2 linked regions of the Neodiprion lecontei genome follow. The protein of the gene in region 1 purifies or fractionates together with the protein of each later gene. This does not show direct contact. Links are inferred from orthologs where the notes say so. Each region holds a gene or a part of one and is shown on either strand. Other genes may lie near its edges.

The links.
Region 2: the proteins of protein argonaute-2 (region 1) and endoribonuclease Dcr-1 purify together in Drosophila melanogaster (affinity purification with western blotting; 5 studies listed by BioGRID, with this or other methods). This does not show direct contact. The link is inferred for Neodiprion lecontei from reciprocal best matches to the Drosophila melanogaster genes AGO1 and Dcr-1.

What each region holds. Positions count from the first base shown.
Region 1 is NC_060264.1:19,737,051-19,742,116, reverse strand, and holds the start of protein argonaute-2, read left to right. Parts: upstream 1-1,990; 5' UTR 1,991-2,282; exon of another isoform or gene 2,283-2,461; intron 2,462-5,066.
Region 2 is NC_060263.1:27,267,390-27,272,444, reverse strand, and holds the start of endoribonuclease Dcr-1, read left to right. Parts: upstream 1-1,997; 5' UTR 1,998-2,402; coding exon 2,403-2,462; intron 2,463-2,649; coding exon 2,650-2,765; intron 2,766-2,847; coding exon 2,848-3,007; intron 3,008-3,348; coding exon 3,349-3,641; intron 3,642-3,734; coding exon 3,735-4,097; intron 4,098-4,255; coding exon 4,256-4,416; intron 4,417-4,490; coding exon 4,491-4,699; intron 4,700-4,869; coding exon 4,870-5,053; intron 5,054-5,055. Other genes in the region: coiled-coil domain-containing protein 130 homolog, read left to right, coding at 1-149. UniProt on the Drosophila melanogaster protein: Endoribonuclease which functions in microRNA- (miRNA) gene silencing and, independently of its ribonuclease III activity, also acts in the short interfering RNA- (siRNA) gene silencing pathway.

The sequences.
Region 1 (5,066 bases):
ATATGAAGATCTTATATCTCATTTCAAATGGCTATCAGCCACACACCTTTCTTTCAACAACTTCTTCAACTCCTTCAACTTTATTCTTTTGGACATGTAACAGTATACTCAAAGTTCTTGAAATTAAATAAATGTGCAAAAGTGCAAGGTGTAATTATACATGGTCCAACTTCACTTGATGTGGAATGTCACATAATTATAACTATGAGATCTTTTGAAAATGGTAGTACGTACAACCGACAGGATAAAAATTGATGTTACGGATAATGTCGAATACCTGTAGAAACAGGATGTAATGATCGGAAAGCCAGCAAATCATTTTCTTTGAAAATCAGTTATTTAATAACAAGCGTGGACTTTTCGACTATGTCATTTATATTCGTAACATTTCAAAATTATTCCCGTGATGAAAGGATTTTTTTGCTAACTTTTTGGCTCTTTGAGAAAATTTGAATTGATAATAATAAAATTTCAAATTTCACCATTTCAAAAATTGAGATAAATAATTTACTCTGACAAGTACGTCAATATTGTGCAGAAAGTGAAATAATTTATTTAATCTATTTTGCTGTAAAAAGTTGTATTGCTTAAAAACAATGTTAATACCTTATCAAAATTTCAAATAAATTCACAAAAATTATAGTTTTCATTTCAAGTATTTTGCAACGAATCTAATTATATATTTCATTATTCATTCATCTATTTCTTTAGGCACTTGGATAATTTCCATTGATTGAAATCCAGGTACGTAACTGTTTGAAATTTTCAATTTTAACATGTCTTCCACTTATTATCCGCAAAGTGAAAAATGTTTCAGAATATTTGTTCAGATAGTTGTTGGTTATGAAGTTTTACCGGCGTAGTCAGCTACTGGGTTGATAATACATTGAACTGCTAATACCACCAGATCCGACAAATCGTTACGAAAAATAACCCAGAACTAGCCGTGTTTATACATCTGCAGTCAACACCGCTTAAGCTCAGTGTCATACGCTGCGTAACGTTAGCAATGTGTTAAATTTTACATTCGATATTAAAACTATGTCATTCGCCCTTTTTTCATTTCATTTCATTTGTAACTTAAAATCATAGCGCCGACTAGAATCACCTGAGAGTACAGCGAGATGTTGAAATAAATTAGAAAGACCGGCCGTAACCGGCGGGAAAATTTGTAACCAATGGGAGGACAGATTTTGCGGCGCACTAGCGCTTGATAGGATATCACAGTAATCGATATAGAACGTTGATGTTGCTAGCAAGAAGAAAGTAGCGTATTTCAATGTTCCCTCTCGCGGGTTGACACGTTTATTGCCGTTTCAATACTTCCCCGATAACGTAAATTTCACGCGAATTACACCGCGATCGGAAGAGGTTATAATGATGAAATTTGCAGATCAAACGATTTCAGTAACACAGAAAATGAAGAAAAACTAAACGGCCTATATATAAGACTGCAAAACAGCGACGGTATGTTACTAGCCTCGGTGCAATTGCAAGGGGAGAAGAGCGAAACGGTGTCAGGTGAAGTTTGCCTGGTTAATTTACAACCGATTCTGATTGGCCGACAGATTATATGCATCGTTCAGGAACGAGTGAAAATCGGGTAGACTCGTGATTTGTTAATTATGCAACGAAGCCGTGAACGGTTAACGAGCCAAATTACCGTTTCGAAATCGAACAAAAAAACGCGGCAACTAATTTTTCATTCTGTTTTTTCTCTGCGCGGGGAAAAATAGGTTAGAAAACGATCCCAATGATCGTTTGGTAAATCAAACGATTCGAAGGCGCGAAAAAGACAACCGTAGGTTCAAAATTCGAATAAATTGGAGCGGGAGTCAAAAGCGATGAAAAAGGTGAAACTAGAGGGGCAGAATAGCGGTGCGGAAACGGTTACATTTTCAAATGAAAATGTAAAAGGAGAGTAACGGTTAATAGCGCGTTATTGCCCATTGCCCCTGTTTATTTTGCCGTCCCTGAGGTTTGCGATGGCCGCGCGCGACTTGGTCATGCGCATCTCGGATCAGAATCGAACAAGTAGTGGGGATTAAGCCTGACCGCCTGAAAGAATGCATTGCGAATGTCGCGAAAGCTCTTACAAACTTGTTAACCGGGAACGTATCTACTTGCTGGCGGTTGTACAATATATAATATAATACGCTGTTGTGGCTGTACCTCCCCGAAAATAGGGTGAGAGGGGGGGGAAAAAAATACGGCAACAAACCATCAGGATCAACAACAACAACAAAAACCACGAGAAACCGCGAGACGTTTACATCGAGATCGTATGTTTTTCCTGCTAATCAAAAACCGTAAAAGTATAAATCGTATGTAACATTTTAATTATCACTAAAACAGTGATGAACAAGTACTCAAGAAAATAAACTACGTGTCATTGTTTATCGAGTGCGGCGGGATCGACGGCACTGGATCGTAATATCATTGTTATGACAGCAACGTGAGTGTTAGTAAAAATGGCAACCTTGACACTTGGGTTAGTCGGCGGCGGTTGTCGCTTTTTGGCGGCTGGTGGGGTATCCCTGTGTTTAGACTCGTTTCACCCCAAATCCTACCCCCCGTTCGTTTTCTTTTCTCCTCATTCTTATACCCTGACAATAGAAAAAAACACCTGACGTGTCATCGGATTAAATACAAATTAAACTGAAAAACCAAGATTAAGAAAAAAAAAAGACGGCCATGAATCAAAAAATTGACTAGAGCTTATAAGCAGAAAAAAATCATCAGGATTATTTATATAATACAGCAAATAGTTATGACACGGTAAAACATCACTTCATCCAATATATATATATATATATATATATATTTATACTTATACTTATATGTGTATATATATTTAAATCCTATATACATATATATATATAGATATATATACAAGAGACTCAGTAGAGCCCGCGCCAAGTATTTTTCGTACGTTCTCGTTTTACCTCCCACTACTGAAGAATATTCGTTATGAAATAATAATTACCTTCAGTGTTCATCATCACCGATATAATCACGATTATCCCAATGGATGGTAGCGTCTCTATTTCAGATTTTTTTCCTTTTCTTAATCTTTATTTCTCTTTCTCTCTCTCTCTCTCTCACTCTCGCTCGCTATTTCTTGCTCGTTCTCAACCCTTCCTCCACCCCTAACCTAACCTAACTTCCCGCCCTCCCCCTCCTCCTGCAACAAATCAAGGGCAACTTCACCTTGGACAAAATCAAGCATTTTGGCATTGACCTTGAATTGTTCCTCCGTTAACGATAAATTTCCTTATACGTGTAATGCAGACGATATGCGATGGCGATGATCGCAATGATGACAGCAATGATGATAATAACAATGATAATTTCAACGATATGTGCGTAGATTCATATCATGGTTATTATACATACCTATGTGAAAATCGCGACAAGGAATTATGCGTGTAATTGTAGAGCCCAATGAAACTGAGTCGGCTCGTTTCGTGTCGAATCACAGTGATGATGTTGCTGATTAATAAAATCGTGGATCAAATGTAGCCCGTTCCACTTTTGAACAGTTCGGATTTGATAACAAATGAACGAAAATTACCTATCACACGGCGTATTCTTCTCGTTCATGTCATCCGACATATTTGAGATTTCGAATCAATCAGTGGGTTTTGGATGAGTGATAGACACGCGTTAAAAAGTGTTGAATGTGCTTGATTTTGCATAAAAATGTATTATCTTCGTGCGATTTGAAATTGTGCAATTTAAGAGACAAAGTTTTTTTCTGCCCTATCGAAAAACTGTAAAATTTGTGACTTAATTAGCGAAATTGATATTGCATATCAACTGTCATTACTTCCTAGTGATTTCAACTATGCAAACTTTGAAACTGACCCGCGGTTCGTTCCGAATGAGTGAAAAAACGACATAAAAAGGCAGTATTATGGATGGCGTATCCTTGTAAAAATGTAGGAAAAATTAATACAGACTGTCTTTTTCGGGGATGTGAACGGTTTTTGTTGTATTCGAAATGTATCCGGAATGTTATTGTACAATTACACAAATGTAAGTCCAAAAAAATACAAATATAATCGTATTTAACGATTGGTCATTTTTACCAGGGATAGAAAGTAATCATCGTTTTTCTGTTTTGAAGTCTGGCAAATTTCGAATCGATCAATACATTTCGAATAAACATAAAATTGAGTCAATTTGATTAATTACTAATTCAAGACAAATCCTCTTCCTGCCATGATCCCGAATACATGATTTTAAAAGTTGACTGCTTACTTCGAACAAGCGAGGAGACGAATGTAAAAAGCAAAATAGTCTCGATTTCGCAGTGGAAGAAATTCTTTCCCTCGAATCTAACGTCAATAAAATTAAAAATCGAGCGATCCGTTTCGAACAAGTGAAAAAACCAATACACAAAGATCGAGTATAAGGCTGACGTATTTTTCACACCAAACGACTTCTTTTTATTCAATGAATCCGAGATCTTAAAAATTTCCAAATCCAATTTTCAAGTAGTTATGATGTATTATAATCAACAATTCAGAAAGCAAGAAAATTCATAGATTTGTGTAATGTGGATCCCAATAATCGCATTGAATTTCAATAATTGCATCAAAAGTACGTGATCATTTCAATGCCTAAAATTCTTTTCGCATATTGCAGACACGGTGTGTAGATTACGTACATAAAATGTAAACATACAACATACAACAGGCGTTTCAATGCAGGTCATTATGTATTCGTACTTTTTACCGCAGCTGTTGCAACTACATCGGTTGTACATTAGAATAACATTATTATTGTTATTTTGCCTTTCATTATTACTCATCAGAAAACTAAAGAGTAAAGTGAAGTCAATTTTGGATGTCGAAAGAAATTCTATTTTCGTAATACATGCCTCTGAACGAGTAAGCAGTCAAAAATTAGGTGCTTGGATTACACAATGGAATGAATACAAAGAAAAGACAGTACATACATATATACGGTTAAGGGGTGCCCTGGTCGATTTCGACGGTGGAGTATATATCGCCAAATATCGAAGCCCACACATCTCAAACGCGAAAACGCTTATTTCTGTG
Region 2 (5,055 bases), on another chromosome or scaffold:
AACGTATGAAACAAAAACAAGACCAACAACTATTTGGTAACGAATCTTCTTCAGAGTCTGATAGAAAGTCTACATCTACTCGTCAACAAAACCTGCCCTTAGTCCATTATGATTTCTCAAGTTCAGATAGTGGATCGGAACGTTCATGAATATATTTGATGGTGAATAATAACACGAACAGAGCTTGCTTTAGAAATGAATTACCTTATGACCAAAAGTACTTGACACAATCCGCAAATCGCAAATAATTCAATTATGTAGTTCTTTGCAATAAGTGAAGATATATTTTATTTCACTCTGACAATTTCCCGTCAGTAATTTATTGATGATCTAACGAAACTGCTTCTAAGAAGGATTTGTCGAAATAATTAAATATCTATGGGACAATAGGTATAAAGATCTTACTCAAGCGACCATGTATTAACTATGTAAAATAAACTGTAAATATATATATATACGTATGTACATAGGTATTATATTTGTATGCAACATATTTATACATCATACATAGTATTAAAGTTCAAAACCAGAATTTGGATGTTCGGATGTTCAGAAAGTGACGTCACCGAAATTTTTTTCTCTGACGTCATCGATCTATAGTAATCGTCGACGACGAAAATCAGCTAACCGAATTCATCATTCTGAAAACAACCGCGCAGTAGAGCGGACGGATGAGAATCGGGCTCCGCAAATTTCGAGTACCGGGTTCTCCACCTCCTGGATCCTGCGCTCAGGGTCCGCTTCCTGGTGCAACTCGAGTTCCGGAACAAGCGCTCCGTAGTTTCTACGCTCCAGGTCCGCTACCTGGTGGAACTCGACTTCCCAGACAAGCGCTCCGTAGTTTCTGCGCTCCAGGTCCGCTACCTGTTGAAACTCTACTTCAGGAACAAGCACTCAATAGGACTGGCGATCCAGGTCCTTGACCTGGTGACTTTTGACCTTCAGGACTAATTTTCTGTAGTTATGGCTGTCCAGGTCCTCCACCTGGTGGATCTCGACCTCCAGGACTCGCGCTCCGTAGTTTCTGCGCTCAAAGTCCTCTACCTGGAGAAACTGGACTTCAGAGACAAGCACTCCGTAGTTCTGGCTGTCCAGGTCCTTGACCTGTTGACTTTTGACCGTTACGAGTAATTTTCTATGGTGCCTGCGCTCCAGGTTCGCTACCTAGTGAATTTCGACCTCCAGGACCAGTGCTTCGTAGTTCCTGCACTGTGCAGTGAGCAGTGAGGGCCTGAGGTATCTCATTAATTTCGTATCATCTGGTAAAACACTAACAACGAGTAAGCGAGCGCACAAGAATAAAAACCAGCTGCACTAGGCATCCGACCCCGAGCGAGCTTTAACGAGCGAGGGTTTTACAGCTTATTATTATTTGTATGCAACATATTTATAAATAATATAATTAATGTGATTTCAATGTCTCGCTTCTTTAGTCTAGAATGGAACAGTGAAATATATATATATACTGAATGCGAGCCAGCAACGCAGAAAAACCGGGGATGTGCTATTATGCGTTCTTTTGTACATATAATCTGTCATTTGTTCAAATCTTGACAATTTTTTATTGCTACTCGCGTCACGTCGTGCTTACCATTTTTAGCAATTTTTTTCGTATTCTAAGGGGGTGCCTTGCTCGATTTCGACGTTGACATATATACCTCTAAATATCGAAGTCCACGCATCTCAAATGTAAACAAGGGTTTCAACAGCCCCATTCTATACGCCATTCTAAACAAAGATTTCTACAATGCATGGAATTTCTTTATTTCTGCATCGAATGAAAATGAATTGGTGTGTGTCTGTTCAAAAACGCATATAGGTAGAACGGGCTGTGAGCCCTTTTTTGCATTGACATATACCTATACGTCACGTCGAAATCGAGCATGGCGCCCCCGTGAGGCTTTAAGGTGCGTCTACATTGAAGCTCCAATGTAAACGCACCTTTCAGGCTCATGATATGCCTACTATTCGAAGAGTTACCGATTGTATGTACTTTTTTATTTGATTGTATACATACGTACCAATTTATTGGAGTACACAGCCTCTTTAAATATCAGTTCCGATTGTCAATACCAGATGCTGGTTACTACCAGCTCTTTAGAGCAAATAAACAAATGTTTTTAGAGAGTTCCAATCTATGTATTAATTATGGTTCACATCGCGAAGACAGATCTGTGTGCCGCCGATTATTTGACAAGCAGAATAACCTAAAATTTGGTCAAATCTTTTCGTATAAAAATAGCCGTACAACACTGTTATTCGTCTAGAGTGCACATTTCGATAAGGTTTCACCTTGATTTACGTTATTATTGACGTTTTGCTAGTTTTTTGATAAATCAAACAACCCGTAATTGGGTTTTATACGTTCAACGATATAAAAACATTTCATTACTACAATCTCCATGGCATTTCCATTAAATGATCAAGTTCATACTAAGTCTTTCTCTCCTAGAGAATATCAAGTGAGTAAATAAGACATAATTCTAAAACATACATGTAGTGATAACTAATTTCCAAAGTTCGTTTATCATTACTCAAATTACATTTTTTAAATTACATTTTTCAAATTACATTTTGAATTCCATTATTTATTTCAACAAGTTGTACAAATCGAAGTAATTAGTGCCTTGTGAAAATTTTTTATGCTAGGTGGAGCTCCTCTACGCAGCTTTAGAGAGCAACATAATAGTTTGTCTAGGAAAAAATTCTGAACAAATATTTATTGTTATCAAACTAATTCAAGAGTTGGCGACTAACAACAGAAGGTAAAGCTATGTCGTTTCTCTTTACAATTGTTGTTTTTTCATCTTCAAATCTTTGGATAACTTGAGTTCCATCTGTTCACAGATCTCCGTCAGAAGGAGGCAAGCGCTCAGTATACATTCTAAGAGATACAGATCGATGTTTAACCAAAGCTGTATATATACAACAATTAACAGATCTACGCGTACTTATCTGTGATTCTGAGACATGGCCAGAGTTCGATAGAAAATTCGCTGAAAGTCAGGTGATATATGTTATCAACGATATAAATTTTATTTCAATTTTCAACCAGTTATTCAATATGGTAATTCTGTAATATCTGTATGATTTTCAAAATACAAGTCTTTATTTTAAGAGACTCGATCTTTGTTCAAATCTTCCTCAAAAAAGTAGCGCACAATTATCAAATATACAAGTGTTATATAGCAGTCTATTTTATCAACGTCCAATATTGTGATGTAAAACAACAGCATGATTGATGTATGTCTCATTTTTACGAAAATCTTACAAGTTATTTAAATCTACATAAAGTCTGTATCATTTGTGTTCATATTTGTTGATACAGATTTATTTTATTTGTTAAAGGTGATTGTTACTACATCACATGTTTGTGCAGATCTGTTGAATCAGAATAAAATTTATCCAAGTCAAATAAATTTGGCAATTGTAGACCAATGCCACAAAGCAGTCAATGATGAAAAGCTAAAGTTTGTTTTACAAAAATTTAATGTCTCTAACGGTCCTCGACTAATTGGTTTTGCTGCACCAGTTTTTAATCTAACTCGTCAGCCAGGACGACTGGAAGCAGAAGTTGAACTTTTGGAAAAAACCTTTCATTGTAGAATTGAAACAGCCAGTGATATTGTATCAGTATTAAGGTTTGTATCTTCTTACTTATTGTGTTTGTTTCACTTTGTTCACTCAATTACTATGTTTTGTGTAAAATAAGAATGTATTCAATTTTGATTCAGATATAGTCCAAAACCAAAAGAGTACATTGTAGAATACAAATGTGGCGAATATGAAGAATTAAACCAGACTCTGGAGAACTGTGCTATGCATGCTATGAACTTTTTGTGTGATCATCGCTATGATCCCACTGAAATTTACAACGATGAGTTCCTCGAGGACATACAGAAGATTCCTGATCCTAAACAGGAACCTTGCTCAATGATAGAAGACTTTTTGTACGTACTTCAAACATTCGGGGCTTGGTGCGCCAATCACGCTGCTCTAGCTTTGCTAATTCAAGCAGAAAAGCTGAAAGTAAAAACCCCTTATGAGCGACACTACTTATTATTCAACGTTGTGGTTTCCTTGTTTATTAAAATAAGGTATGTGTTTCATGAAATATCAAGTATTGAGTAGTCAAACTCCTCCAACAGATTTGCCACTGTAGATTCTTCACTTCTACCCTCAATTCTAATTTATACATTTGGTTATAATTGATATAATACAAAAACCGAGACATTATGGTTTGTTTGGTTTCTAGAGCTATTTGTGAAAGTGAATTTGAAAATTTGAGCGAAAGAGAAAAATTATACAAATTCTCCACTCCATGTGTTCATCGACTATTGCATATACTCAAGTGTTATGCCCCATCCAGCAAAAAAGAATTGACTATCCCAGACAACAAACTGAGCAATGGACACAGTACGTTGAAACATTTGACACTGTTGAAACAGTGGTTTCATAATTAACCATATCCTTATGCATTGTTAATTAAGGTGTATCTGCCTGCAAGAAAGACATTGATACTGGAAAAGATGGCCTCCAACAATCAAAATACATTGGAAATGTCAAAAAGCTACGAACTGGTATTAAAAGACCTCCAAAATCACGGTATCCACGTACTCAAATTGATCCAGATCTGTTGTGCGGAGTTATTTTTGTGGATAAAGGATTTACAGCAAAAATATTATTTTATCTATTGAATGTAAGTTTTTGTTGCTTTTAATATCTTTACTCTTTACATAAAAACAAAGAAGACACAACAAAAGTTATTCTAACATTCCAAACCTAATATTACATTTTTGTGAGATTTGGGTATACAAATACTTGTCATAAACTAAATATAATTACAAAGAGTTGATTATTTTTCTCCAGGACGCTTGTAAGTATGACAAAGATTTACAATTTCTCTCCCCACTTTATACAATTGAAAAGAATCCTGAGGGAACAAGCTCTGCTCATGACATGGAGGTTCAACATCGGAAACAAGAGGAGGTTTTAAAAAGCTTCCGAATACACGAATGTAATTTATTAATTGCTACATCGATATTGGAGGAGGGT